Linked DNA regions of Sus scrofa. The protein of the gene in region 1 interacts with the protein of each later gene in a pairwise test. Links are inferred from orthologs where the notes say so. Each region holds a gene or a part of one and is shown on either strand. Other genes may lie near its edges.

What was found.
Region 2: the proteins of LATS2 (region 1) and MAP3K5 come close enough for resonance energy transfer, tested with the Homo sapiens proteins (2 studies listed by BioGRID, with this or other methods). The link is inferred for Sus scrofa from reciprocal best matches to the Homo sapiens genes LATS2 and MAP3K5.

What each region holds. Positions count from the first base shown.
Region 1 is NC_010453.5:1,224,048-1,239,226, forward strand, and holds the end of LATS2 (serine/threonine-protein kinase LATS2), read right to left. Parts: intron 14,844-15,179; coding exon 14,711-14,843; intron 13,296-14,710; coding exon 11,986-13,295; intron 10,526-11,985; coding exon 9,943-10,525; intron 8,584-9,942; coding exon 8,401-8,583; intron 7,333-8,400; coding exon 7,226-7,332; intron 3,476-7,225; coding exon 3,005-3,475; 3' UTR 1,476-3,004; downstream 1-1,475. UniProt on the Homo sapiens protein: Negative regulator of YAP1 in the Hippo signaling pathway that plays a pivotal role in organ size control and tumor suppression by restricting proliferation and promoting apoptosis.
Region 2 is NC_010443.5:27,370,990-27,386,857, forward strand, and holds the start of MAP3K5 (mitogen-activated protein kinase kinase kinase 5), read left to right. Parts: upstream 1-9,153; 5' UTR 9,154-9,872; coding exon 9,873-10,296; intron 10,297-15,868. UniProt on the Homo sapiens protein: Serine/threonine kinase which acts as an essential component of the MAP kinase signal transduction pathway. Plays an important role in the cascades of cellular responses evoked by changes in the environment.

The DNA.
Region 1 (15,179 bases):
AAAATAGAAGGAAAAAAAAAAGAAATTGAAACCCACCTCCACTTCCAGTGAGAAGCAGCAGACAGACTTTCCCTATTCCTCCCACTGAGCACAACTAAACTCTCGGCCTGGACCAAACCAGCGCAGGACGGCGGGAGGAGGAGGAGGCAGAGACGCAGGGCTGCTGCCTGAGGGACGCCGAGGCACCAAGTGCCCTGGGTTCCTTTTGCCTCCTGTTCCAGACTTGGAGCTGAAGGGCCAGCAATCAGAACCACCAGCCTGCCCGCCCACACCCACTCTCCCTCAGGCCCGAGGGGCCCCCCACCATCCTCCCCGGCCAATCCGAGCCCCCGACATTCCCGGGGACAACATCCCAGAGCTCCAAGGGGGTAGCTAATGTTCTCGCACCCGACTGCTGATGCTGCTGCCTGCGTGCCACCCAAGGTGGAGCAGGGTAGGAAGGAGCCCCCCACATGGGGCCGGGGCCTGGTGGACAGCCGGCCAGGACTGCCCAGCCGTGACCACCTGGCTGCACTTCTCAGACCAACTCAGAGGAAAACAAACTATCGTACTTTCTAGTCCCTTAATAGCATCGAATTGCTTGACTTCTGGCTGCGCCCGCAGCATATGAAAATTCCAAGACCTGGGATCGAACCTGTGCCACAGCAGTGACCACAGCGAGTCCTGAACTGCTGAGCCACCAGGGAACTCCCCGTCAACCTTGCTAAACCAAGGGTGCGGCGCCACACCTGCCTCAGGCAAGACACCAGCTCCTGCTCAGGGTTTAGCCGACAGCCTGCTTGACTCCTCGAACATCGGCACTCGTGCCAGTGCCTTGGCGGAGGGCGGCTGGGTCACAGAACCCCCCACGCCCGACTGGGCCTGTGCTGCGATCTGAAAGCCAAACTCCCCCAGACCCTTCCTGAGGCCGCACCCTGTTCCGGTGGGGGGGGTGGCTACATGCGTGTGGGGGCGTCACAACATGCTGACAAAAGCGAGAACTTATAAATTCCAATAAAACTTGACACCAAGGGGAGTGCCTGTTGTGGTTCATTGGTTAACGAATCCCTGTAACTCGCTAAGTGTGCACAGTCAGAGAGGCTTCGGCTGCTGAGGGCCAGCACACAAGCGTGGACCGCTCTGCTTACTCTGCCAAACATCCTCTCAAAACTGGATGGTTAGGAGTTCCCGTCATGGCGCAGTGGTTAACGAATCCGACTAGGAACCAGGAGGTTGCAGGTTCGATCCCTGGCCTTGCTCCATGGGTTAAGGATCCGGCATTGCCGTGAGCTGTGGTGTAGGCTGCAGACACAGCTCAGATCCCGAGTTGCTGTGGCTGTGGTGTAGGCCAGTGGCTATGACTCCAATTCGACCCCTAGCCTGGGAACCTCCATATGCCCAGGGAGTAGCCCAAGAAACGGCAAAAACACACACACACACACAAAAAAAAAAAAAAAAAAAGAAAGAAAGAAAGAAAGAAACTTGACACCAAGGGATTTGGATGTAAAATTTTAATAATAAATTGTGCCAGTAGAAGCTTTTCAAAGGCAATGATACATCAATAAATAAGAGTTAAACCGAGTTCCTGAGAAAGAACCCACCACACGGAGCCTGTCAGAGCCTAAGTAAGAGCACGGCGAGACCGCAGCCCCGGCAGGCTGACGCCCCTGCGGGAGCACCGCGGCCCCCGACGCCGCTCTCACCACGGAAGCCGCACCCGGAGCCTCTGCCGCCGAGACGCCAAGGCACGCAGACGTGTTGGTGCCGAGATGCACACTAAGTAATGGATGTGTCATGCCAAAAACCTCAAGGAAAAATATGTGGAATAATATAAAGGAAAATAGGACGCGTCCGGTTTTTAAAAAGCAAAAAAGAGAATTTAACGTTTTACTCAAATATAAATCACTTTAAATAGGAATCATACTACTCGCAGTGGGAATATTCTGTGTTAATCTATGAGTTATGTAGACATCTACACGCCTAGGAAAGTACATATGGCTTCATCACCTTTCTTATTCCAACCGCCCTGGGAAACGTCCTTCTACAAAGATGAGAAAAACGTCATTTTTAAAACCAAGGGAAGACTGACCCTTCGAAGCACACCAGAGACAAGGTGCGGGACCCTGAGGTCACACCCCTCCGCCCGGTGACCCAGGGTCTGGGACACGGCCCCTGCGGGCGCCTGGAGGGCAGGGGGGCTCGGGCACCCTGGCTGGCAAGGCACGCGGAGGTCGGCGTCTGACCTGGGCTTTCTTGGCGGAGCTAAGTTCATCCCTTTTGACGAAGGCAAGGTTCGTGGAGGACAAACGTCTACGCCTGCCCCCAAAGAGTCCAGTCGCACCCACGACACAGTCACACCACTTCACAGACACGCGCGCGTTTCCGCAGCGAGACAGGAGGAAGCCGGCCCAGGCCGGCTCCGGCCCAGGCGCCGGGGAAGGACGTGTTCACAGAACCCGCTGTGAACGGCAAGACTCGATCACGTCCCAACAGGACAAGCCTGTCCCTGCAGCCCTGCGCCGAAGCTGCCACCTGGAATCGCACCAGCCGGCTCCCCTGCCCACACTTCCTATCGCACCACAATATGCAAAAAGCACAGAGGACAAAACAACAGAAGCAGCTTGCAACGTTCTATCACAACTTTGAAATGTGGGAAAAATATAAAGCAGAAACAACTGTGCGAATAAAATGGCATCAGTTACATCACAACAGTGTTATCTCTTTTTTTTTTACATTATTGCACAGATTTCTTATCACATGATGTTCAGCTTTGATGTCTTTCCCTAAATGTGAATAAGTGCTGTGGATAAAATACAAACGTAGAAAATAACAGCAGCATGATTTGTCAAAACCAATCCCTATAATTTAGTTAGAAAAATGGCTATTAAACAAAATAAGTGCTCTTTCTAAACTGTACTAATTCTTTAAAATATCATTTTAATGCAGTGAAGGTCCTCTAAGCCGACTCGAACCCCGTGGGTCCCGGGCCGCCGTCCTGGCGGCCGGGGGCTCAGCGCACCGGGCGCTACACGTACACGGGCTGGCAGCCCCCTGACGACGCCCCCGGCGGCTCCGCCTCGGCCTCGGCCCCCGCGGGCTTCGGGCAGCGGAAGGGGTAGCCGTTGTCGTCAAAGAACCGCCGGAAGGTGAACTCGTAGAAGGCGTGCTCGGGGTGCCGGCCGCCCGGCGGGCCCAGCGCGTCCCAGGCCCTGCTGCCGTCCTCGCTGCCGTCCTGCCAGGGCCCGTCCTCATCCACGGGGTCAAAGTTGGACGTGTCCATGGGGTGGCTGATGGTGGGCACGTAGGGGGCCGGCTGCCTCCGGATGTCGCTGGAGAAGTCCACGGGGCCCAGGAACGGGTGGGCCTTCAGGTCGTCGGCCCCGTTGCGGCCCAGGCGACGCTCGGCCGCGCAGCACAGCTTGGCGATGAGGTCCCGGGCCTCGGGGCTCAGCTCCACCTGCGCCGGGATGTGCAGCGTGCTCTCCCAGTTAATCACCTGCGGGGACAGCACACCGGTTTTCCTCCCCCTCACCCCGGCTGACGGCGGCCGGCCCGGGACAGCGTGAGAGCATGTGATCTCAACGGCCCTCGATATTCGAGAAACACAAAGAGCACAACGAGCCATCGCCCCACGCGGGTCAGAATGGCCATCAGCAAAACGACCACGAGTACCAAGTGTTGGTGAGCACATGGAGACACGGGAGCCCTCGTGCCCTGCTGGTGGGAAGGTCCACTGTGCAGCCAGACTGCAAACAGAACGGACGGTCCTCAAACAGCTCAAAACAGGGCAACTGTATGAGCCTGCAGAACCGCTCCCGGCATCCGGAAGAGACAAAACCTCGATTCTGAAAAGATCCGTGCACCGCTACTTTCACGATAGCCAAGACGTGGCAGCCACCTAAGTGTCCACCCACAGAGGAAGGGCTTAAGAAGAGGAATGGAATACCACGCAGCCATAAAAAAGAATGAAACAATCCCACTCGAAGTAACCTAGATGAACCTAGGGACTGATTATCATCCTTAGTGAAGTCAGTTCAGACAAAGACAAGTACCACATTGTACCACTGCTACGTGCAATCTAGAAAAACATAATAAAATGAACTTACGAAACAGAACCAGACTCACAGACATGCAACAAGGACCTACTGAAGAGCACAGGGAACTGCCCCATGTCTTGTAATAACCTGAGACAGCACAGAACCTGGAAACACCACACAACTGAATCACTCTGTGTACACGTGAAACAAACACATACCATAAACCAACTACACGTCAATCTAAAAATTTTTAATATCAAAGTAAGACTTTGATAGTTTCCCTTCGGGAAAAGAGAAGAGACAGAGAAGGACGTGAACAGCTAATGGCCCGCGTGGTTTTAGCGGGAGGCCCACAGCCTGAGGAACGGGGTGCGAGAGACACCCTCGGTTCCCGACGCTCAAGCACACAGAGCAGCCTGGGTCACGGTCAGGTTCCCTGTGAAGAGGACGCCTCGGGGACTTCTTTTTGTTCCTTCCCGGCTGCACACGCAGCATGTGGCAGTTCCTGGGCCAGGGGGTCACCCCTGCGCCTCGGCAGCGAGCCCAGCCACAGCAGGGACAGCGCCAGATCCTTCATCTGCTGCGCCACAAGGGAACTCCGAAAACGTTGTTTTTCTTTTCTAAGGGACTTCCTGTTTACACCCGGAGTCAGGATGAACCAAGGCCACATGAGTGGGGTGGCGCGAGGGTGGAGCGGGGGTACGAGGGATGGTTGGAACCTGAGTAGTTGTTTACTGGAGCTGAAGTTATAAAACTCAGAGAAGAAAACAGAGAGGAGGATCTCCACGATGGTGGATCTGGCCCTGATTTCTTGGATATGACACCAAAAGCACAGGCAATAAAACACAAAACACATAACGGACTCAACAAAATTTCAACTTTGTACACATCAAAATCAGCAGAGCGAAAAGGCAACCCATGGAGGGGGAGACTGATGCCCAGTGTAGATGTGACACAGGATTAACGTCAGGAATACAAGAAGAACTCAACAACAAACCCCCAAACCACCTGATCAAAAAAGGGCAAAGGAGGAGTTCCTGCAGTGGCAGAGCAGAAACAAATCTGGCCAGGAACCATGAGGCTGTGGTTCGATCCCTGGCCTCGCCCAATGGGTTAAGGATCCGGCGTTGCCCTGAGCTGTGGTGGAGGTCGCAGATGCAGATTGGATCTGGCATTGCTGTGGCTGCAGGCTGGGACCCCTAACCCGGGAACTTGCATGTGCTGCAAGTGCGGCCCTAAAAAGCAAAAAAAAAAAAAAAAGACAAAGAAAGAAGTGGGGGGTGGGGCCAAGGACTTGAAGAGACCTTTCTCTCAGAAATGAGCACGAAGCACAGGAAGAGACGTTCAGCATCCCTGAACACAACGGACACGCAACTCAAAACTGCCAGGAGATACCATCTCACACGCACCAGAAAGGCTACTACTAAAAAAAGAGGAAAATAAATGTGGGCACGGATGCGGAGAAGCAGGGACTCCGCTCCCTGTCGGAGGGAACGTCAAATGGTGGAAACAGCACGCAGGTTCCTCAGAAGGTTCCAGGTGGAATAACCGCGGACCCAGCAAGCCCGTCCTGGGCATCGACCCAGACACACTGGGAGACAGCAGGGACCAGGCAGGCACCTTCAGGTTCACGGCAGCCCTGTTCACAAGGGCAGGGGACACACAGCCTGAACGGCCACCACCGGACGATGGGCAGACAAAGTGGAACGTTACTTACACACAGTGGGGTACCGTTCAGCCTAGAAAGGAAATCCGGACACAGGCGACAGCAGGGCTGAACTGAGTGAAACGAGCCAGCTACGGAGGCCAGAGCTGCACGGTGCCACGTATACCAGGGCCCAGCCACAGAGGCCAGAGCTGCACGGTGCCACGTATACCAGGGCCCAGCCACGGAGGCCAGAGCTGCATGGTGCCACATATATCGGGGCCCGGAGGAGGCCACTTCATGGCAGCAGAAGCAGCAGAGAGGCTCCGGGGCCCCAGGGCCACCGCTGAGTGGGTCAGCTTCTGCCTGGGATGATGGAAACATCGGGAAACGGGCAGTGGTGACAGCTGCACACCTTTCTGAACAGACTTAATGCAACTGAACTGTACACTTAAAAGGGGTTTCCATGCCAAGTGTCGGCACATTTATGCACCAGGTTATCATCATGCAGGCAAATCAGTCACTGGTTTAGCAGTTCGATGAAGATACAGACACTGCCAAACTCCAACTTATGATCACTGTAATAAAACCAAGCCTTAATTTAAGGTTTTCCTAACCAAGAGGTTACTGATTTAGGGTCTCCCGTGGACTGAGGGGCATGTGAAAACGTTCTAGGACTGTCAGGGAGCAGGTGGGAGCGCGGTTCTCAGAAGTTCCAGAGACGTCAACGAGGCTCCCGTCCCGCCTTCGAGGCCATCCAACCATTCACTTCGGAGAGTAAAGGGCCCCTGTGCTAAAACTATTTAGCACTAAGTTGTTACGTGACAGAGAGATTTTACTTACTTGAAATGAACATGAGAAACATGCAGAGCTAGCCTGACCACACAGCTGACAACCTGCCAGCGGCAACCAGGTAACACCCAACATCCAAAGCAACACAGCGACTTGCTCGGGCACCGCTCTGAGCTCTGAGCTCTGCTGGGTCTCGCTCGGCCGCCCCAGACCTGCAGCCTTCCTGCTTCTCTGTTCCCAATCCCCACCTGGAGATACCAAGACGGCAGGGGACCACGGTCCCGTAATACCTCAAGTCAAAACCTGGGTCTGACTCTGTGCCTTTACTTATTAAAACACTTTAACTAAGTAGTAATAATAGTATGTGTGTGTGTTTGTGTGTGTGTTTGTCTTTTAGGGCCACTCCCGTGGTGTATGCAGGTTCCCAGGCTAGGGGTCAAAGCGGAACTGCAGCCGCCGGCCTCCACCACAGCCACAGCAACGCCGGATCCAAGCCGCATCTGTGACTTACACCACAGCTCATGGCAATGCCGGATCCTTAACCCACTGAGCGACGCCAGGGATGGAACCTGCATCCTCACGGATACTAGTCGGGTTCATTAACCACTGGAGCCACGATGGGACCTCCCCACAACAATACTTTTGAAAACTCCCGTTACACACAGGGACAAGGGACAGCACTACACCACTGGGGATAAAAGGTGGATGTCGGCAAAGACCGCCCGGCTCATCAGGCAGCCCCACGGGGCAGCCCCGACTCCCGCTCCGTTACCTTCAGCTGGGTCTCCGTGGGAGTCGGGGCCAGGAAGGGCGGCTGCCCCACCAGCATCTCGAAGAGAATCACGCCGACACTCCACCAGTCGCAGAGCTGGGTGTACCCTGAAAGACAGAGTCGGGCTCCTGAGGGGCACAGGCCCGGATGCGTCCTGATTTTCCACCATCAGCCTGTGACAAGCACCGTATGTGCTCTCATGGCGACAGACTAATTTAAAAAGACTACTGTTACTGTTGGTAACAATACCGACCAGAAGTCCAAGTTCTTGAAGAACCAAACACGAAGTACACACGAGGAACGAAGCGGCAATTCTGTGACCCGGTCGGGGCGGTGCCGAGCGCTTCCCGGGGAGGTCTCGGGACCTCGGCGGCGCCCCCGGCAGGTGGGGTGGGAGCAAGGAGGGGACCCCGCGGAGCTCCCACGCCCGGGACTCAGCCAGGGCAGCCTCTGGAAGGCCTTGGGGCAGGCTGGTCTTCCTCTGATTTTGTCCCATGTCCCAACACAAGCCCCGCTCCAACCTTGCCGTGCCCAAATTCTTGCCAAAGGTGCACTGCAGTCCCTGCCCAGGGGACTCCTCTGGGCTGCGCCGAGGGCTGGGGGGACAGGGTGGCCGCCTGAGGGCCAGCACCTCCCGCCTCCCACCTTTCCTGGGCAGCGAGGTGAACACTCCCCACAGCCTCTCAAGGCAGCCGCAGTTACAGTGAGGCTGGCAGGCGGGCAGCTACCAGGGGACACAGGTGGGGGCCCTGTCGGCTGGCTCCAGTGACCTGGGTCACAGCTCCCTGAGTGCATCCCCCGGAATCAAACCCACAAATGCAGCCGCTGATAGCACATGACCAACGATCAGCTTCCTCCTGCGCCCGGCCAGGCGGGGCACAGGGTCCCCACATCCTGCCACCTTCCAGGCGCTTGGGGAGGCATCGGAGGAAGTGACCCTCGCCCACGCTGACCAGGGAAGGCAGTGCCTCCCAGCCGGAGCCTGGGACCCTGGTGCCCCTGGCACGCACTCTGTCCACACCAGCTCTGGGGCGGCTCCTCTGGGCTTGGGGGCAAAGGGCAGCCCCACCCTCAGGGCCACACACCAGGGCCACATGCTGAGAACACACTCTCAGCCCCGCAGGAACCCGGAGGGCGACTCAGGCTGAGCACTGGAGCCGGGGGCACACACGCACCTTTCCGGAGGAGCACTTCCGGGGCGATGTAATTCGGGGTCCCCACCAGGGAGTGCGCCAGACACCGCTGGTGCTGCCTCCGGGCCCTCTGCTCCAGGGTCTTGAGCCGGTCCCCACACCGACAGTTGGACACGTCGTCCCAGAGGTCGCTGGGCTCCATGCTGTCCTGCCGGGTGTGGCTCCCTGTGACCCGGGGCGCAGGGCGGGGGAAAGAGGAGGAAAAGCAAGGTGAACCTTCGCTCTTCAACACGCAAGAGACCCCCAGTTTCAAAGGTCAAAGTTTTCCAAGGCAGCGCCCGACACAGCGAGAGAAGGAGTCCTCCCGCCAGCTCCGCGGGGCGGCTGTGGTTCCGGGCCTCAGATCCAAGCCGTGGGCGGTGGCGGCAGGGGCTGCGCCCGGCGCCGGGCGGCCTGCATGGGGCGCTGTTCGAGGCTGGCGACAAAGGTGCTGTGACTGGGGGATGGCGTTCCCAGCATGCTCAGGCCCACCTCTGAGGCTACGTTTTACGACAGGCACGGAAAACCAGGAAAAGATTAAGAAAATACGAACATTGGAGCTCCCATTGTGGTGCAGCAGAAAAGAATCTGACTGGGAACCATAGGGTTGTGGGTTCGATCGCTGGCCTCGCTCAGTGGGTTGGGGATCTGGCGTTGCCGTGAGCTGGGGTGTAGGTCGCAGATGCAGCTCAGATCTGGCGTTGCTGTGGCTGTAGCTCCGATTGAACCCCTAGCCTGGGAACCTACCTCCATACGCAGCAAGTGCAGCCCTAAAAAGCAAAGAAAAAAAAAAAAAAAAAAAAAAAAAACTAAAAAAAGGGAAACATGAACATAAATGAGTCCAGTGCCAAAAGACAAGCATGAATTAAATGATTTAGGATTAATTTTGAGTTAAAAAATGGAAGCCTGAGCTATAGCATTAAAATAACTATTTCAAAAATTCATACCATAAATAAGAGTTGCCATCATGGCTCAGTGGATATGAATCTTACTAGTATCCATGAGGATATTGGTTCAATCCCTGGCCTCGCTCTGTGGGTTAAGGATCTGGCGTTGCCATGAGCTGTGGTGTAGGCCAGTGGCTACAGCTCTGATTCGACCCCTGGCCTGGGACCCTCCATGTGCCACAGGTGTGGCCCTAAAAAGACAAAAAACAAAAACAACAACAACTCATACCATAACTAAGACAACAACCAGCTGTTTCTGACGTTTCCAAACAGCAGAGCTGCCAGAGGTAAAGGTCACTGGGTGCACAGCGCGGTCTACACCTGCAGCAGGCCAAGGCTGGCCGAGAGCGAGAGCTCCTTGGGAGGCCATGAGGCTTATTTTTGAAGGCTTGTTTTAACAGGCAGAGAGACGCTTCCTGCGCAAAGCCCAAAGACACCCCATGGCCTGCCGTCCTAACAACATCCCCGTAAGACTTGAGGCCACTAACGTAACACGGCAACCTCCAGTCGGGCTGCCTTTCCAGGGAGAAGAGGGTGTCGCAGCAGCGGAAAAGCACGGGCGGGGGGCGGGGGGGGGTGGCGCTGGCCCGGGCTGTACCTTTCTGGTAGTATTTGGAATTGTGAGTCCACCTGAAGCCCGTGCAGAGGCCGAAGTCGGTCAGCTTGATGTGCCCGTCCAGGTCGATCAGGATGTTGTCCGGCTTGATGTCGCGGTGGATGAAGCCCATCCTGTGGACACTCTCGATGGCCAGCGTCAGCTCGGCGATGTAGAAGCGGGCCAGGGGCTCCGGGAAGACCTCCATGCGGATCAGCAGGCTCATCATGTCCCCGCCCGGGATGTAGTCCATGACGAAGTACAGGCTGTCCTTGTCCTGGAAGGAGTAGTAGAGCTTCACCACCCACTCGTTGTCCGCCTCCGCCAGGATGTCCCTCTCGGCCTTGACGTGGGCCACCTGGTTGCGGCTGAGCACGTCCTTCTTCCTGAGGGTCTTCATGGCGTACAGGGCGTGCGTGTCCACCTTGCAGGCCAGGCACACCTCCCCGAAGGCGCCCACGCCCAGCGTCTTGATTTTCACGAACATGGACTTGTCCATCCTGGCCCTCTTGAGCCGGTTGTAGTTGGACTCCTTCTGGTAGAGGATCTTCCGCATCTGCTCCTGCTCGGCCTCGCAGAGGCCGGCCTGTGCAGAAGGAGACAGGGTCACCCCGGAGGACACGGCGGGGACGGGGCCCCGGAAGGGGCAGGACCCCCCTCCAGCCCGTGGAAGGAGGGAAGCGACGGAAGGGCCGAGCACCAGAGCCAACCAACCACGTCTCGCTCCTGCCGGCCACGCAGAGCCACAGCGTGGAGGCGGAGGGAGACACCCTAGGGAGCGCTTGTTCTGGTGACTTTAGGTAAAGGTCACTGGGTGCACAGCTAAATGTAACTTCTGTTAATGACGTTCCTGGAACTCTAAGAGCAACGGATAACTGAACGGCTCAGGGAAAGATGGTAAAACAACAAGAAAAAAGCCAGTGAAAATAGGACAGCAGGAAGAGCATACATTTTACTTCCCCAATTTTAAGTTCTCACCTGTGTGATCAACATTTACCGTAATCTTTTAATTTAAATAACTTCATTAATAATTACTTGCTCCAACGGTTACTGTCAATTAGGGTATATTTCAAACATTACTGGCTAGGAGTTCCCATCCTGGCACAGTGGAAAAGAATCTAAGAACCATGAGGTTGCGGGTTTGATCCCTGCCCTTGCTCTGTGGGTTAAGGATCCGGTGTTGCCGTGAGCTGTGGTGTAGGTCACAGACGTGGCTCTGATCCTGCGTTGCTGTGGCTGTGGTGTGGGCCGGCGGCTACAGCTCCGATTAGACCCCTAGCCTGGGAACCTCCATATGCCATGGATGTGGCCCTAAAAAGATAAAAGACAAAAAAAGAAAAAAAAAATTACTGGCTAATCATAGATGTAATTAAGAAATAGAACAGAGTTCCCACTGTGGCACAGAGGGTTAAGGATCAGGCATTGCCACAGCTGCAGCTGGAATTCAATCCCTAGCTCGGGAATTTCCATCTGCCATGGCTTCGGCTGTTTAAAAAAAAAAAAAAAAAAAAAAAAGGAGTTCCCGTCGTGGCTCAGTGGTTAATGAATCCGACTAGGAACCATGAGGTTGCGGGTTCAGTCCCTGCCCTTGCTCAGTGGGTTAAGGATCCGGTGTTGCCGTGAGCTGTGGTGTAGGTCGCAGATGCGGCTCGGATTGGACCCCTAGCCTGGGAACCTCCATATGCCGCAGCAGCAGCCCAAAAAATAGCAAAAAGACAACAACAACAACAAAATTTTTAAAAAAAATTTTTAAATAAGAAAATGACTCACTAGCAGATGTTTTTCTTTATACATCCCACAATTTCAATTGATAAAGCTTCGAACTTTGTTTTACTCTTTGCGAATGTCCCACCACTAGTTAGTTACCGCGACTGAATTTGCTCCTGAGCAAGGACACACCAGAAGAACCAGCGCACAAGCCCCTGCAGGCACAGCAGGCGCAGCCGGTCGTCTCCGGCTGTCCCCAAAGCCAGACGCCCAGCCTGGGAGACGCTGGGCTGTGAGGCCCGTCAGCCGCGCAGGCAGGGGCAGGCCCGCGGGACTCACCTTGGCCATCTCCTGCTCCAGCTGCAGCCTGCGGGCCACCTTCTGCTGGTAGGTCTTCAGCACGTTCTCCACGTGCTGCTCCATGAAGAACTTGAAAGCGGAGGGCGAGTAGCTCTTGATGCGGGAGCCCGCCTTCTCTGCATCGCGGCTGCCCCTCCGCACGGGCACCGGCGACGTCTGGATCTGCTTTCCGTCCTTGCCCGGCTTCTCCGCTTTGCGACTGCTCGCGGGGGGCTCCGTGGCCGGGCCCCCCCGGAGGCCCTGCTCCACCCCCGCGCACAGGCTGTCCACGTCCACGTCGTAGGGCCGGTGCCGGGGGTAGGGCGGGGGCCGGCACCTCGCCTCGGCGCCCAGCTCCGCGTCCAGAGGGTAGGCGGCCCCCAGGGGCAGGGGGTGCTCGTCCTGGGAGTCCAGGCTCTCCACGCCGGGGCTGGGCGCCGGCACCCAGGCCGGGTGGGAGGGCCCCACGGCCGTCTGCGGCTCGGGCCTCAGCACCCGCACACTCTTGACCGGGTGCAGGATGTGGGCGGCGGTCACGGCCGTGATGGTGTTGGGGGAGGCCACGGCCGCCGGCTGCTGGTGGCTGTTGAAGGAGCTGGTCCTGCTGGGGGCCGGGCCGTCGGCCAGGAAGGCCACGTGCTGCCGGGGCGGCGCCTCCAGGCCCGGCTTCTGCAGAGAGTCGCGCCGGGACAGGGAGGAGCCCGGCCACTGCTGCGCGCCCGCGCCCGGCTCGTGCAGGTCCACGTTGAGGCTGTTCCTGCAGGGAGCGAGCAGGCCGGGCGGGGCGCCATCGCCCGCAAACACGGGGCCTCTCGGGCTGCCCGCGTGCACCTGCAGGGCCTGCTTGTGGTGTGGGTGCGGTGCATACACAGGCGCCGGCGAGAAGGTGTGGCCGGCCCCGGGCTGCACGGCTGCGCCCTTGGCTGCCAGGTTTGCGTACCCGCCAGCCTCAGGTGGAGTCTTGCTTTGGAAGGAGGAGCTGCGCTGGACGCCGTAGCCCCGGGGCTCCCCGGATCCCAGCAGGTGTGGCCTGTAGTGCTGGCCCTGCAGCGGGGGCGCTGGGCCGCCTGGGAGGCTCACCCCGGAAGCCTCCGCAGAGGCGGCATAGCCCTTGGGCTGGTGCGGGCGGCCAGGCACGCAGTGTGGGCCCACGCCCCCGAAGAGGAAGTCCGGGTACTGGCGGGCCACCTCCTCCAGGGCCGCCGGGCCCTCAAAGGCTGCCCCGCTCATCTGCGGGTAGGGTGGGAAAGGGGCACCTGCTCCTTCAAAGCTCGGCCGCCGCGGCACCGAAGCTGGGGCCAGGCCCTTTCCTGCAGGAAAGAGGAGAGTGGAGGTGGCCTTGGGGGCACCTGCTGGTTCTGGCCCTTTCCAGCTCACGGTGACAATGACCAGGGGCTGACCATGACTATACTGGCTCTTCTGCGACCAAAGGCCCCAGGAAGGCTCCCCACACGCTGATCACTGTGTGGGCTTGGCCAGGCTCCGAGTCCAAAGGCCCTGCCCATCCAAAAACCCCCAGGAGTACCTGGCAGAACCAAGACCCTCTACAGCCATGACTGCCAGCCGAAGGCACAGCAGAGCAATGGCTTTGCTCCCAGGCTAAGAAGGATGGGGAGGCCCCATCGAAGGCAGGTGTGGACCATGGAAGAGCGAGGGTCGCTGCCCCATGGGGCCGTCTTCCACACAGACCCTGCACCCTAAGCGCCCGGGCACAGCCGCCCGCCCGCCGAGCCCAAGGAATGTCCCCAGTCAGGAGGAAACCAGGCATGGGCGTCTCCCTCACAACCAAGACGGCGGCCGAGGCCTGTGCAGTTTGCTCACTCAGCAGACGAGCGGGCTTTATCCCAGGTCTTCCACGAAAGAGGGAGCACTCCCGCTTCTGCTCAAAATCCACCATCCCTTCCTACTCCCCAAAGGGCCCCGGCTCCGTCGGAGACTGTCAATGACAGGTGGCAGAGCAGGGCATCTGGCGCTGAGGCCTCTGTCCGTCCCTGGTGTGGGTGCGCGTGCATGTGCACTTTCCTCCCAGGGGCGTGGGGTGGGAGCTCGCCCCCACCTCCGCCCAAGGCCCGCCCCACCCCACCCTAAGCCCTGGCGGCCCTGCCATGGGCCGGCCTGCTCTCAGAGGCTCCAGTGGGGGGAGCAGTGTGTTTCAGAATCAGTGAAACAAGCCTCCCTTGTAAAGACCCCCCTACAGGCCCAGGAGAAAGTAGAAAGAACATTTTTAGTCTCTTCAGGATTCCCTAATTTTAATATCCAGTGACTGTTTCAATCGTTCACAAGACAAAACTAAACAAGTCCAGGAGTTCCCGTCATGGCTCAGTGGTTAACGAATTCGACTAGGAACCATGAGGTTGCGGGTTCGATCCCTGCCCTTGCTCAGTGGGTTAAGGATACGGCGTCGCCGTGAGCTGTGGTGTAGGTTGCAGACGCGGTTCGGATCCCGCGTTGCTGTGGCTCTGGCGTAGGCAGGCGGCTACAGCTCCGATTCCACCCCTAGTCTGGGAACCTCCATATGCTGTGGCTGCAGCCCTAGAACTGGCAAAAAGACAAAAAAAAAAAACTAAACTAAACAAGTCCACAAACACCCCCCCCACAGGAAGTACCCAGCGGAGTGCCATCATCTGCCACCCATGCCCGTCGGGCCAAGGCCCAGGGCGGCTCAGCCCCCTCAGGGCTGTGGCCCCTGGGACGCCCGGACCCCACCCGGCTCCTGGGCGCTCACCTGGGGAGGTCTGCTTGACGACACGCACGATCTGCTCCTTCCCGGGCTCCAGGTAGCCCATCTTGCTGATGAACTCCAGGGCCGCCTCGATGCTGCGGCTGCCCGTCTGCTTGAGGGCCCGGCCCGCCATCTCCTGCGGGAGCACAGACACGTCGGTGCGGGCACGGCTGTGGGCGGCACCTAACACCGCCCCCGGGGCCAGTTCCTGCTCGGGGCCTGATGCGCGCTGAACTGCAGGCTCGGAGGAGCACGAGTCCTGAGGGCGGCCCTGGACCAACCCAACATTCTGCTCCTTGTGAGAAAACTGCTGGGACTGGACGGTAAACGCTGACGGGTGCCCCAGAGTGCCCCCAGGTGCCCAGAGTCCTTCCAGAGCCCACCGACGCCCGCTGTGGAGTGCCCTGGGCTGGCTGCACGGCCAGTCCCAGCAGCAGAGAAGGCGGCACAGGACAGGGTCTCCAAATCGAGT
Region 2 (15,868 bases), on another chromosome or scaffold:
AACGAGATCATGAGATCACGGCCCTTTCCCGAGGCCAGGCTTGGAATATGACAGAAACATCTTAACTTCCTTTGGGGTTTAGCTACAGGCCTAAAGTTCTACACTAGGCCATAGTTTTCTTTCCAAAATATAAACGGGCTCATATTCCTCCTCTGCTTAAGGTCCTTGAATGCCTCCTTTACTTAGAGGATGAAATTAAATTTAACTTTCATGAAGACACTTGGAAATCTGGCCCCAACCTCAGTTTCTGCACTTGTTTCTTGACTACCATACCAAACAAACAATAGTAGCAGTTGTTGCAGTAGTAGTTTTATAGAAATAATTGCTTCCAGCCTGGGTTCCTGGACTCTTTATTTATTTATTTTGTCTTTTTGTCTTTTTAGGGTTGCACCACATGGCGTGTGAAGGTTCCCAGGCCAGGGGTCTAATCGGAGCTGTAGCCACGGGCCTACGCTACAGCCACAGCAACGCCAGATCTGAGCTGCGCCTGCGACCTACACCTGAGCTCACGGCAACGCTGGATCCTTAACCCACTGATCGAGGCCAGGGATTGAACCCGCAATCTCATGGTTCCTAGTCAGATTCGTTTCCGCTGCACCAGGACGGGAACTCCTCTTAGACTCTTTAATCAAAAGGCATTTAAAAGAGGCCAAATGAGGAAGTCAGACAAGGCTTTATTGGAACTCATGCTGCAGCAGGAGTGAGCAAAAATAAGAAACAGATGCTCTTACTGGCTCCCTGAGGGCGGGGGGAGAGCTGGTCCCTTAAATGGAGGAAAGGTAGGGGGGGAGTGGTGAGTCAGGCCAGAGGGATGGCTTAGGTGGTGCCATATGCTGGGATCATGTCTGGTACCCTGCTTTTGCTCCAGGCACCTCAGAAGTGGCAATTGGGTTTTGGCCTTTTAAAATCTGGTTTGTAATTTGCCCCAACTACTCATGCATGCAGTTATTTTTTGGTCCCTTAGAGTTTCTTTGTATTCTGTTGCTCCAGATGACACTTGTTCAGGTGAAAGCACTGCAGTAAAGGGTCCCAGGTCCCAGGTCCCAGGCTGTTTCATAATGAGCAACAACAGAGGGCTCATAGTGGTGGTGGCAGTTGAACTGTTTGACTGTAATTACTATGAAACGATTACCCCTAGCACTCTTTTATATGTACTGGTACTGGAAGTGCCTGCGGTTTTCTAGAATTCAACATACCATCTTATGTGTGTACATTTTTGCCTGCTTTTGCACAGGCCAGCATTTCTTCCCATTTACCTGGACTGGAATAGCTGCTACTCCTACTCTTTCTGTATATATTCTACTGCAGCTCAATCTCTCCACACATCTATCTCTCCAGATAGGAGTGAGCTCAATTAGGATCATACTTTATTATCTGTTTAATACTTAGAGCTTTCTATAGTGCCAAAGGAATGAATACAGATCCTTCGAGGTATTATGGCAAATACCTTTCTTTCAATAATAACACTGTTCGGTAGATCTTCTGCAACAATGGAAATGTTGTACACATATATTGTCTAATAAAGTGGCCACTGGCCCCATAGGGCGGCTGTGACTTGAAATGTGGCTGTTAAATTTTTAATCTGATTTTAATTTTACGCTAAGTTTTTTGAAGCCGTATGTTTTCTTCTTTTTACTTTTACCTCAACCATCTCCTGGACCTCCTTGTCATTTATACTTAGGCTTAAATATTTGCTAGACTAAGATGATGCAAAAGAAGAAGGTATATAGGTCTGCAACAAAAAACCCAGGTAAAAATATTTTTGTCTAAATATTTTAACAGATTGGATTCCATCATAACTTTTAAGGAGTCATTCAGTATAACGTGTACTTAATTCAATGAAGTCACTTAATTCCTGATATTTTAAGTCTTTTATAATGTATTATTTTGTATAATGTATTATTTTTAAATGGTTTAGAAAAAAAATCAAGGTGAGCTTTTATGCTAAAATATTTGGGCATGTTATACACTTACAAGGCTTCTGCAAGAAGAACAGTAGAACAGATTTCTTTTTTTTTTTTTTTTTTTTTTGTCTTTTTGCTATTTCTTGGGCCACTCCCGCGGCATATGGAGTTTCCCAGGCTAGGGGTCGAATCGGAGCTGTAGCTGCCAGCCTACACCAGAGCCACAGCAACGCGGGATCCGAGCCGCGTCTGCAACCTACACCACAGCTCACGGCAACGCCGGATCGTTAACCCACTGAGCAAGGGCAGGGATCGAACCCGCAACCTCATGGTTCCTAGTCGGATTCGTGAACCACTGCGCCACAACGGGAACTCCAGAACAGATTTCTATACTTGCCTGAGGAGGATCATTTTAATCCACTTTGGAATTTATGATAACCTTTTTAATTGTTGAAGATCTTAGCCCTTTTGTAGCTGAACTCCAGTAAGTCTGTCCTTATTTAAGCATGTATGGAATTAAAAGCTAAAAAGACTGTCAAGCATAAGATGGCTAGATAACAAAATGGCATTTTGGCATTTTGGCAAAAGGCATTATGAGATTTTACAGGCATATTGAAAGTGTTTGGTTCTTAAACTTATTTAAATCATACCTCTGGGGTTGGAGTTTGGTGGGGGAGGGTCTCTAGTTGCGTAGAATTCCCTAGGGTGAATCCGATCCGCCTCGTGGCTACTCGGGGTCGGGGTGGGGGGTGTGTTGGGGGGTTAGAGCTATTGGATATGCAAAGGAACTGAAGTCATCTTCTAGGAGCACAGACTTCTTGGTGAATTAAGCAATCCCGAAACATGATTTTGTACTCAAACAAATTGACATCAATTCTGAAATACATGGCAAACTTCAAGACCAAAGCCACATTCATTCTTGTTGACTTTAACCTCAAATTATTTCCCAAGATTTTGCTCTCTCTGGCTTCTGCTGGAAGAGTTTGGAAACACAGCTACTGTACCCAGCTTGCAGAAAAAGAAGTAAGAACAGTCTTTTTATTTTTTTGCTTTTATTTATTTATTTTTTAGGGCCATACCCTCGGCATATGGAGGTTCTCAGGCTAGGAGTCGAATCTGAGCTGTAACTGCCAGCCTACACCACAGCCACAGCAACTCGGGATCCCAGCCAAGTCTGTGACCTACAGCACAGCTCACAGCAACAACGGATCCTTAACCTTACTGAGGGAGGCTGGGGATCAAACCTGTGTCCTCATGGATACTTGTTAGATTTGTTTCTGCTTTGCCACGATGGGAACTCCAAGAATAGTCTTTTAATATAATATTTTAATTCCAAATTTGATAGACTCTCTCTTCTCATCACCTTTCTTTTAAACTTTATGTGTGGAGTTCCCGTTGTGGTTCATTGAGTTGAGAACTCAACAGACTGTCCATGAGGATGTGGGTTCGATCCTGGCCTCGCTCAGTGGGTTAACGATCTGACATTACTGTGGTTGTGGTGTAGTCTGGCAGCTGCAACTCCAATTCGACGCTTAGCCCAGGAACTTGCATATGCTGCAGATGTGGCCATAAAAAGAAAAAAAAAAAACAAAAACCCAAAACTTTATGCAGCTGTTAAATTAACTGGTTTCATGTGCTCCCACCACAATCTTTTTTAAAAAAAAAAGGCAGACTGACATTTTCTGATGCAATGGTCTTATCTTCCCATTTCAATAAGGAGCACAATCTCTGGGTTGGAACCCTAGTCTTGTTACTAACTCCTTGCCTGACACTGGGTAACCTTATTCCTCTGGCTTCCTGAGTCCCTCATTATAAAGATGGGAGATGTGAGATATGCATATAAAGCAGTTAGCATGGTGATGGGCACTTGCTGTTTTTTCAAATGGAAATATCTCTAAGATATTCGATTATGTTATTACTAGAAAATTAACTTGGCATCAGTTAAGTCACAGTGGTAGTGACTTATTTGTGCAAAAATTAAAGCAAGCCCTTTGCTTGTAGAGTTGCCCACTGTTTAGATTTTACTCACCTGTAACTCTGCTTTTTGGTCCTCTGTAATTTCTGGAATTTTTGAATCTCAGCTTTGGATTCTAGGGCTTTGATGAGATTCATGCCTACTGTGTTTGGTGTGACTATCTCATGATTGGTGATCTGTTTTCCTATCAGGAGTCACATGACAGATATCTGGTTATCTTTCCTTTAGTGATATTAGTAACTATTGATCATCTGTAACTGGATCCAGATTTACTAAGTTGCAAAATGGTGATATTCTAGCTACCTCTGACTTCTTATATGTATTAGCTGAAATATTTCTAAAAAGATAGCAGTCCCTCATCTACTGTTTGATTACCCAGTATATTTTCACTTTTTATCCATTTCAATTCAGTACAAGGACTGGTGTCCCAACTGAATACTTAAACACAGCCCATTAGGGCTTTAAAGGATTTTCCATGTAATCTAATTCACCACTCTCTTTTATGGATGAAGAAATAAACTCAAAGAGATTAAATTAGTTTTCTAATTTCCAAAAGCTCTTGGGGAGTTATTAGAGTCTCAATAGGAAACAAGATAATTTGAGGTGGACTTATTTACAAAAAGACCAACTGCAAAGGGAGGGAGAGGTTATAGGGAAGCTTTAGGGGATTGTGAAGGAATTTGAAACTAGCAGCTTAAGAGCTCTCGTCATTTCTAGGTGCCAAGGACAACGTGAAGGACGAGTATGAAACTTTGTTAAGCCCTGTACGGATCTGCCACCTTGAGAAGAGCAATGACTTCCTATTGAGCAACATGGTCAGCCTGATGGGATTCACCAGTCCCAGTAGCTGACCTTCCTCAGATTCCCTGGGGGGACAAACCCAAACCCAATTGGTAAACAGGAAGCGAGGAAGCCCATTGATTTAACTTATAGATTAGTCTCTGGAGGCGGGAGCTTGCAGGGGTGTAAACGGAGAGGAGAACTCAGGAAAGAAGTCCAGGCAGGCTTGGATTCCCATTCAGGTTCTACTCTACCATCCAACCACGCATTCCAGTGCTGGCCTCCATCCACAGAACTTATATTTGTCAAAATAATTCATGGCCCAGGATGATCTTATCTTCCTCTGGTGAATTTTGTTTGTTGAATGCCTGGAATTACTTTAATCCAATTTCAGAGTTTGAGAATTTTTTTTTTTTCTGGGTTAATCAGGTGTCTAGAGACAGGGTTGCTGTCCATGTAAGTGTTAGTCTACTCCTACACTACATTGTCCTTTCTATTGTCCTAACAGGTGTTGTCAAAAATGCAGTTCAGTCTCCCAGCTGCCTAATTCAGATCCACCAAAATTGCCAGGCCAAAAGCAGCCTCCACTGTAGGCACACCCTCTGAATCCCTGGCCTTTCTTCCAGAATCTGGCCAGATATTTCATTAATTCTTTGATGCCTTTATTTTAAATTTTGTCCAGCATTCTTAGTCTTCTTCAGTGAGAAGGTTCATCAGTATTACTTAAGTTGTCATAATCAGATGCAGAAATCTCTCCCTTATATTTCTCTAGCTCTTTATTGGGAATTTTTTTTTTGCCCTACCAAAAGTTATTCTCAAAGGTGTCCCAAGGACAGTCTCTAAGTGGAAGTGGGATGGACTCTGAGTGAGAATACCATTTTGATCAGCAAACTTCAGTTCTGCTGCCCTGCTTTTTTAAAGTGTAAAGATGTCATGGACTCTTTGCAATATTATAATTCTATCTTTCATTGACTATGATTTAATCTTTGCCAAAAGCCTCTAGGAAAGCCTGCTATTTGTGGTAAAGAGCTAAGCTATATGTTACTTCTCTAGTTCCTGAATTCCTTTTTTCCCCGATGCAGAATGCCAAGTTGTGAGCTTACAATGAACAGTATAATCCCTTCAGTTCTTAATTAAGATCATAGAACCAGAAAGCATTATATCTGACATAATTATTTCAGATTCCTCTGAAATGCCTTCACTGAATTAATATTTAATTTTATGTTCTTAGCTTTAAAAATACGAAATCCAAATTTAAAGAACACATATAATTTTTATAAATCCACGTTTGATTGCCCTGTATTGCCCAGTGTCCTCTATATCAAATTCTATGTAATAAACCTTTATAGAATTCAGTGCCAAGTTAAGACTTGACTCTTCATATGAATATGTGTCCTTTTCTGTGTTTTTATTTTGGCAGCCAAAACACAGACCTAAATTTCTCAATTGATTGAGTTCTTAATTTATCCCAGCTGCTTGATAACTCTTTTATTGGCTTCCTTATTGATTTCTAGTAATTTAAAATTATATTTACCTTGCTTTGTGTATGGCATTAAATCCCACTTGTCTAAAGCTACAGAGAAAGAAGGAAGCTTGTTAGCTAAGGCAAAAGCAAGCTAGGAGCTAGGAGTGTCTCCTACTACCAGGAGACCCGTGCTCATTTCAGGTTTAAAATTCACCATTTTGCCTCTTCAAGAAGAAACCTGAAAGCTCAAGATAGGCAAAGCAAGTCACAAGGCCAACTCAGGGTCAAAGAGTGACAGACACTCCACCTCTTGATGGAAGAAGCTGCAAAGAATTTGTAGCCATTTAAAATGGTCATGGGAGTTCCTGTTGTGGCTCAGCAGAAACGAATCCATGAGGATGCCAGTTCAATTTCTGGCCTCGCCCAGGGGGTTAAGGATCCGGCATTGCCATGAGCTGTGGTGTAGGTCACAGATGCGGCATAGATCCCCGCAATGCTATGGCTGTGGCGTGGGCTGGCAACTACAGCTCAGATTCGACCCCTAGCCTGGGAACGTCCATATGCCAAGAGTGCAGCCCTAAAAAAAAAAAAAAAAGCAAATAAAACAAACAAACAAATAAATAAAATGGTTCCCAAAGAGGAGACGTTGGAGGGGTGGGGGAGGTGGAGAGGATGTGGACTGGGGTTTGGGATTGGCATATGCACACTGTGGTATGTGGAGTGATTGGCCAACAGGGACCTGCTGTATAGCACAGGGAACTCTACCCAGTATTCTGTGATAACCTATGTGGGAAAGGAATCTGAAAGAGAATGGATGTGTGTATGGATAACTGAATCACTTTGTTGTATAGCAGAAATTCTTACAACATTGTAAATCAGTTATACTGCAATAAAACTTTAAAGAATGAAAACAAATTTAAAAAAAGGCTTTCATCCTTCCAGACAGACACCCCGAGGCATACACAGCAACCTGAAGGCAGGTGGGATTTCAGAATAGTGCCCCTGCCTCCGCACAGGCCCCAAATTTGGCTTGTAAGTTGAATCTACACTATTCAATTGCTTATCAGCTATAAAATGAAATTTCACTTGGTTTCACCTAATACACGTGGTGTAAGATTTATCAGCTAAACCATGCCATTTAGGTGGGAGAGCTTTGGGACCAAGAGCAGTAGTCTTTCAGTGTTGCATTGGGGTTTGTCTGCCAGTAATCAGTGACATCTCTAAAGTTATTAAATTAATCCAAAGTAAAACAAAGCCAGCAAAGTAAAACAAAATCATATATGAAAAATTGCTCAGAAAAGACCTGTAAGCAAGGCAATAGTGACAAGGTCTAAAAAGTTATGGTTTTTAGAATATAGCTTTATATGTAACCTTGGACCTTATTTGTGTCATCAAATGCCACTTGAGAATTTGGGCATTTTCGTTTTCCAGACGTGGTCCCAGTGACTTTCCTGCGTTTATTGTTTTGGGCCAGTATGAAGTGGAAGATTATCTACTCTCAGAGAAGTTTAGAGGCTTGACAAGTTGTTGGAAATATTAAAAGTAGTAAGCCTATCAACATTTTGTTTCTATATGATCACTGACTCACTAAGTATCTACTTTCCTAATGATATCAAGTTCAAAAGCAGATGTGGATCACACAGATTCCAGTTGCCTTCCGAGGAATTCACTGCCGTCATTTTATTTTATTTATTTTATTTCATTTTATTTTATTTTTTGTCTTTTTAGGGCCCCACCAGGGGCATATGGAAATTCCCAGGCCCGGGGTCAAATCGGAGCTACAACTGCTGGCCTTCGCCACAGCCACAGCAACCTGGGATCTGAGAAGAGTCTGCAACCTACACCACAGGTCACCCCAACACAGGACCCTTAACCCACTGAGCGAAGCTAGGGATCCAACCCACATCTTCATGGATGCTAGTCAGGGTTGTGACCACTGAGCCACGGTGGGAACTCTCTACTCCCACCATTTTCTAAACCTTTAGAAAAAGCTTTGCTTTATTTGGCTTCATTGAGGAGACAATTGTGCAAATACAGTTGTGCAGCTGCAAGGTGTTTTCCCACACTACTCTTTCCTTCCTTCTTTGAGCTCTTTACTACTCAACTGCTTTCGTCTTCCTTTTTCTCTGGGCTTGCGTGTAATTTGCAATAGTCTTCTTCCTTTTTCATAGAACTCATTCATCTCTGGAAAGTCCAAACCTGTTGCTTTATTTCACTGTAACTTTCACTGGTCTTCCTAAAGTTATAGCATTCTGGGGAAGTTCTCTGAGAACTTACACATCTGTTTTTGCTTCCCAAATAAGTAGATTTTTTTTTTCTTTTAATTGCGCTTAAGCAATCTAGGCATTTTTCCCCTGTGGTGCAATTTAAAAAAAAAAATAGAAATAATCACTTAATTTCCTACTTACATCTGGTGGATGATGATTTGCCAAGTGGAGTATAGAACAGGTTTTCTATCTCAAGTAAGTAGGCGTTGCGTTGCGGGAAATTTTAAGACCCAGATGGGAATATTACATTGTTCAGCAGTTGGAGCTAATCAATTACTCATTAATGACAGCAGAGCTATTGAAAGTTTGAAAATGAAAAGCACTAAGCGCAGACCCTATAAATTTACCTACCAGGCCACTTCCGGAGGGCGACTGTCACCAATAAACCGCCTGCCAGTTCAGGCCCAGCTGCTAGACCTCCCGCCTTGCGCAACGCGGGCCTCAGCGCTGCGCTAGTCCTGGCAGCGCCGCACGCGGACCCGATGCCGGCAGGGGGCGCTGGGGCCACGGGGAACGCTGCAAATGCCTCCCGAGTATTCGCAAGAGAGACTTTTGCGCCATCCTGCTATCGCGTGCGCTCCGGAATTTTGCCTACTCTAGGTCTTCTTGAGTGGGGTCCTGGTGGGTGACGGCGGAGAACCTTAGCCCCGCGTGGTGCTCGGGGCTGGGCTGAGGTCCGGGAGCCGTGGTGCGGTCGGTTGCGTCCGGGCCGAGCTTCCCAGCAGCGCCCTCCCCCGGGGCGGGCCCTGACTTTCGGTGCCGCGACGAGTGGGCGGCAAGAAGCCGGTGGCCGACACGCAGAGCGGCTGCGAGGAGCGGCCAGACTCGAGCAGCCAGGCTGGTGCTGGGACGGAGCCGCCGCGGCGATCGGCAGAGAAACGGGGCCAGGGAAGGAGGAGGAAATAGAGCCGATGAAGGGGAGCTGCCGCCGAGGAAGGGGGCGGATCCTTTCGGCGGCCGCGGCCGCTGTTCCGGGACGCAGTCCAGGGAGCCTGCCCGCCAGTAAGGTGCTGGCCAGGTAGCTCCCCACCCAGAGGGCGCCCTCCCCGGACCATCCCCGAGAGGCTGGCACGGAAGGAGCCGGGACCGCGCTCTGGGTGGCCAGGGCGCACCGCACCCCGAGAGCGGCGCCCTTGAGCCGCACCGCCGCGCAGGTTCGCCAGCCGACTTGTCCGCCGGCCAAGAAAAGGAAGCGCTGTCCCTTCCCGCTCAACCCGGCCTCCCCACCCCTTGTACTCTACACCCTGCAGCGGGCGAGCGGCGTGGCCACGGAGGCGCCGAGGAGGGGCGAGCCGCCGCCGGGCAGCGGCGTCCCTTCGGGGGAGAGGGCGCCGGAGAGGAGGCGGCGGCGCGGGGCGGAAGGCGCGACACGGGATGGCAGCTGCTTAGCCCGACGCGCGCGGAGCAGCCCCGAGCTGTGGCTGGCCAGACGGTGCGGCTGGGCGGGCGACGCCGCTGCCGCGACAACCCGGCCGGGAGAGATGAACGCGGAGGCGGGTGAGGGCATCACTTTCTCCGTGCCACCCTTCGTCGAGGGCGGCAGTTGCCGGAGGGGAGGAGCGGCGGCGGTGGCCGAGGGCGAGGAGAGCCAGCTGCCACCGCCGCCACCGGGCAGCTTCTGGAACGTGGAGAGTGCCGCCGCCCCTGGCACCGGGTGTCCTAGTACCACGTCCGCGAGCAGCACCACCCGATGCCGGGGCAACTCTGGTGGCGGAGGCGGTCGACGGACCACGGTGGCATATGTCATCAACGAAGCGAGCCAGGGGCAGCTGGTGGTGGCCGAGAGTGAGGCCCTGCAGTGCCTACGGGAGGCGTGCGAGGCGGTGGGCGCTGCCCTGGAGACCCTGCATTTTGGGAAACTGGACTTTGGGGAAACCGCGGTGCTGGACCGTTTTTACAATGCAGGTGCGTGTGCAACCCCTTCCCCATCCTCTGCAGTCCGGGGTTATTTCCCCCTCGCCCCCCCCCCCCGCGGCTGCCACAGGGGGAGAAATGTGTTTTGCGGGGCAGCAGGAAAAAACAATTTCTGAGCAGCAATCGTGCTTCCTACTTATTTACTTCTTGCCCCACCTTAAGGGCAACGAGCGTCGCTGCATGCCTGCTCTGGGCGCTCGTTCGCCACGCTTGGGAGAGTGTATGCGGGTGCAAGAGCCTGTGTGTCTTTGTGCGAGAGTCTGAATGACCCAACCCCGGCCCGCGCTGGAGCCCGGAGGTGCGCGTGGTCCTATCAAAGAACTTCTGTTCTTCTGCGGTGTGAGATACTTGCCCCCATCAGTCCGTCACGATTCACTGTTTTGGTCTCTCTTATGTTAGGTTTGGCCCACATTTTCCTTCTATATATACCTATGACTGTTTTAGATGATGTCCTCATTTTTTTCTGTGTACTTTTGAGAGGACAGAAATCATGACTTCTGCCACTCGGCCAGCTGCAGGCAGAGTGGATCCATGTGAATTTACATGTTATGTAATGATCTTCCCAACTCTGCCCTAAGTTTAGGGGCCTGCTTTCCCGTATCTTAGCAATTCGAATTTTCAAGTAATGACTTCTAAAAGCAATCTTGTAACTTACACTAAACTTGTGTGGTATCTTTGTTAGGATTTCCATGAAAGAACTGGGGTCTGTTTTTCATTACCCCTGATGAGCTGGGACGTATATAATTTAACACTGTTTAAAACACTGATAGGGTGCTTTAATGACAAAGATTAGATTGGCCATTAAAGTGTGCCCATTAAAGTGATTGCTAGGATAATTCATGAAAAAAAATATTTTCCAACTGTCACAGATTTCAGCAAGTGTCATTGTAATTCTAGCGATTTGTTAGCAAATGTTAGAGTTAAAAGCATGTTATTGAAATTAACCTTTAGCACCCTGTATAACCAATGTTGAGACTCTGTGTGTATTTTTTTAAGACATGTGGGCGTAAAGTTTGATTTAATAGTGGTTTCAAACAATAAGGTTCTTGCATGTCTGATCACATAGAAGGTTTTATATTCCAATCTTGTTTTCAGTTCTGATTCTCTTCAGTCTTTTGAAAACACCTGAAGTAGCCTTTGTCAGTTTGGGAATTTAGCCAAGCCGAATATTTTAAGAACAAGAAGAACTTCATGTTAAGGAAGCCAGACTAAATAAACTAGGACTTTCTGGTTCTGGTATATTTTACCATTTTGGGTTTCATAACTAGACATGAGTATCATATATTATAGCTTGGTTCCTTGTGTGGCTTGCTATAAAAATTAGATAAACATAGCTTTTCTAAAAATTACGGCACTCTTATTTTTGGATTGTAATTTGGAAGACACTTCAAAGAACTGAAAGATATGTGAGGAAAACGCCCAATGAGATACTGAGCCTATTTTTATTGCACTGATAGATTGGGTATTTTTATAAGGCTCTCTAAAAAAAATCTTAAACTCTAAGCTAATTTGAAAGAGCTTTCTATCAAAGCTTATGTACTGTTTATTCTCCAACTGCAGTCTCTGGGGAAGGGAGAGAGAAAGATTAGAAGGGACCAGACCTTTGAACTGTATCTCATTTAATCTTCCAAACAAGCCTACGAAGAACGTACATACCATCCTTCTTAGATGGGAATACCAAGGAAGTACTTACCATTCTTCTTAGATGAGGAAACCAATGAAATTCTTACCATTCTTCTTAGATGAGAAAACTAAGGGATTCATCACTGGTGCAGGGTCATAGGTAATAACTGGCAAGATTCCACTTCAGGTGTCTGACTCTAAAAGGTCCTGCTTTGACCTTGCTTCCTCCGTTTATCCGATCTGATTTATTCTCAGAATCAAGAGAGGGACGTGGAAAAATCATGTGACGTACAGAGAGCTGGTAGGGACCTTATGAGCCATCTAGGTGCAATGTGGAATAGTGCAGAGGACATGCTCTGGGGGGCCAGCTCGGTCCCATCTCACTGTTTGTTCAACCTGGGCAGCCCCAGTTTCACGCCTGCCTATGTGGCAGACATGAACTCTGAGCTCTCTCATTCAGCGTGAAGATGTTGAAGATGTGACAGAATGAAGATGGCATCAGTTTTGTCCACACCCTTTGTTTTTCTAAACTGAGGGCTGCCAAGTTGGATAGTAGTAGAGCTTTACTTCTGATTCCTAAGAGAGCACTGGCTCCGTCCTCTCCCAGGGTTCAGCGAATTTTTCTCTAAAGGGCCAGTTGGTACCTATTTTCAACTTTGCAGGAGGTCTCTTGTCACAAGTCCTCAACTCTGCAGGTGTTACCCAAGAGGGGCCATAAATGGGACCTAAACAAATAATCATGGCAGTTTTCCAATAAAACTTTCTTAATGGACACTGAAATTTAAATTTCGTATAATTCACAAAATATTCTCTCCCCTTGCCTCCCCCCCTTTGAAAATGTAAAAACCATTCTCAGCTTGCAAGCCTTATAAAAACAGGCCTAGCCAGGTTTTGGCCCCAGGCTGACCTTGGCTCTACATCCTACCTCCACTTGAAAGTTGAATCATTACGTTAAAGTGGGAAGAACATCGTCCCTCAAGTTCAGGCTGAGTTTTCATCCTGGTTCTGCTCTGAACCACGTCATTATGAGCAAGGCTCCTTGTCTCCTTCAGCAGCTTATAAAATCGACCAGGGATGGAAGTCGAGGGGGAAATTGAACTAAATTTCTGAGATTCCCTCATGTTATCCTGTGAGTTTGCCAAGGCAAGGCAGCAGGGCGTGCTAGGACAGAGCATCTAAATAGGAGTTTCAATAGGAGATTCTGGTCCTGTTTTTCTTTTCTCATTTGGCGCAGGTCATTTAAAAGCTCAGAGAAGAGTGGAGGGTTGTAGTAATTGGTCTCTCAGATTCCCTCCAGCCCTCAAATTCTATAATTTAAAATTATAACAGTTCTGGAGTTCCTGTTGTGGCTCAGCAGGTTAAGAACCCGACCCAGTGTCCATGAGAATTCGGGTTTGATCCCTGGCCTCTCTCAGTGGGTTAAGGGATCTAGCATTGCCAAAAGCTGTGGTTCAGATCCTGCATTTCTACAGCTGTAGTGTAGGGCAGCAGCTGCAGCTTTGTTTCCACCTCTAGCCCGGAACGCCCATATGCCACAGGTGTGGCCCTAAAAAGAAAAACTAAAATAATATCAGCACTGATTTCAAAAGGAATCATTCAGTCCATAGAGATGAGTGAACTGCTTGTGTATATCATGTTGCCACCTCCAGTAGCCCAGGGTCGCTGAGAAGCACAAATTCAAATTCTGGCTCTGAGGGTCCTCAGAGAATGCTTTGAGCTTCCAGGAAATAGTCTCTGGAATGAAACTGGCTGGGGATGGTTCAGAGGTGACCCCTCACCTGAGATCAGAACAGTAAGCAAAGAGGACCTAACAAGGCCCTCGACATTTAAAAGGGGATGTTGGTGTTTGAATAGCTCAATCTAATGGAATGAGTAAGAGCGCTGGGTTACACTTTTACTGCTATTTATGTGTACTGGGACCTTTCTAAAGAATAGGTTGCAGGTAAAGGTTTTCACTGACTTTCCCTATTTGATTATCATTTAACTATAATTGAGTTTGTTCTTTGACTACAGTTTTCATTCTCTCATTCTCATTCTGAGAAGACACTATTGTTCTATCAAAGACTGTATGGAAATTCATTGTATTGCATATACAAGACTATCACTCAGAGATGGCACTTGCCAAGCTAACAACACCCCTTTCCAGCCCCCTGAGTTATAGGTGGTAAATTTCTTTAAAAGCTAAGAGGTGTCAGTGATACAGATGTCAGAGATAGAGGTGTTCCCAATGTGGCACAGCAGAAACCAATTGGACTAATATCCATGAGGATGCAGGTTCGATCCCTGACCTCACTCAGTGGGTTAAGGATCCAAGTTTCCGTGAGCTATGGCATAGGTTGAAGACGCAGCTTGGATCTGGCATGGCTGTGGCTGTGGCATAAGCCAGCAGCTGTAGCTCGGATTCGACCCCTAGCCTGGGAACCTTCACATGCCTGGGGTGTGCCCCCCCAAAAAAAGTCAGTGGTACAGATATTAGTGATACAGAGTGACTCCATTCAGGTAGACCAACCCCAACTGGCAGGATCTCAGAATTTTTTTAAAAAAATGAACATTAATTTTGTGAAGTATAGCTAGAATGGGCTTTATTATTTCTCTACTGTGCTTATAAGAAAACTGAACCATGAAGAAATCATGTTCTTTCATTCAGGCTAAATGATTTGAGATTGCTGCTTAGAACCAGGAGCACCCTTTATCTTTCTTATTTTTTTCACCATGCTCACGGCATGTGAACGTTCCTGGGCCAGGGATCGAACCTGCACCACAGCCGTGACCCAGTGGTGGATCCTTAACCTGCTGCACCACCATGAAACTCCAGCACTCTTTTTCTTAGAAACATTGGTATAGATGGTGGTTAGATTTGGGTCTGGTCTATAAAGAATCTTTGTTGAGTCAGTGTACTTGAAGTGTGAAACCCACTCATCTATTTAAACACTCAGGAAAATTATGTTCCTGCCAACCTAAAACCAGGTCTTTAAAGACATCTTCCCCTTTGTTAGAATCAGGAACGTTTGTGTTCATTAGCTCTGGTAGCATATTGGCTGGATGTAGGAGCATCACTTTGGATGCGTAGTGATGAGAGGAGGGACTATGGGTAGTGATGAGTGGATGGTGAGGTACAGGGTGAAGGAAGGATTGGGAGGCTGCTGGGAAGGGCGGGAGGAAGAAGGATGCCCAGTGAAGGAAGAAGCTATGCCAGCAGGGGATCCATGAGCACTTTCACCTTTGTCTCCTCCAAACCTCTTTGGCCCTTGACTTCCCACTGATGTAAGACCCAGGATCACTGCTCTGCTCAGAGGCACCTTGCTCCCTCTCAGGGGGCTCAGGGTTGGATGGCTGCCTGTTTCCCCTTTCCTTGCCCCCAACCATTACATGGCCTGGCCTTGCTCTTAGTCAGGCTCGCTGCTGATTGCAATCTCTTGCTCAGCCTTTAACCTAGTAGCAGCAGTGGGTAACAGGAAGGAAACATGTGCAGGTTGAAATTTTCAGAATTTAGTCTTTACATTTTCATCTGTATTATGTTCTCACTCTACTTGGACCCTTAATAAAAGTTTCCCATTTGGGCCACGTCACTGAACTTTCTGGGTTTGGTTTCCCCTGCCTCCAGCTTAGCTCCTTAGGCCTTCCAATCTCATTTGATTAAACACAAATGAACAAACATAACCTTTGTCTCCTGTCTGCCCCAGACTGAGAAGTCCCTGAGACTCTTCCAGCCCACTTCTGCATTTTTTGCTTTTCAATCCAGTGGTTTTCCTCTACACCAGCTTATATACTTGGAGGGAGTGGGTGGAGTCAGTATTTCCCAAACTAAATGGTTCCATGAACCAGTGTAATAAAATCAGAAGACTGACATATGTTTGTCAATGGTTTATTTTCCAAGTAAGGATATTATAAAGACAGAAAAAGGAGTTCCTGTCGTGGCTCAGTGGTTAACAAATCCGAC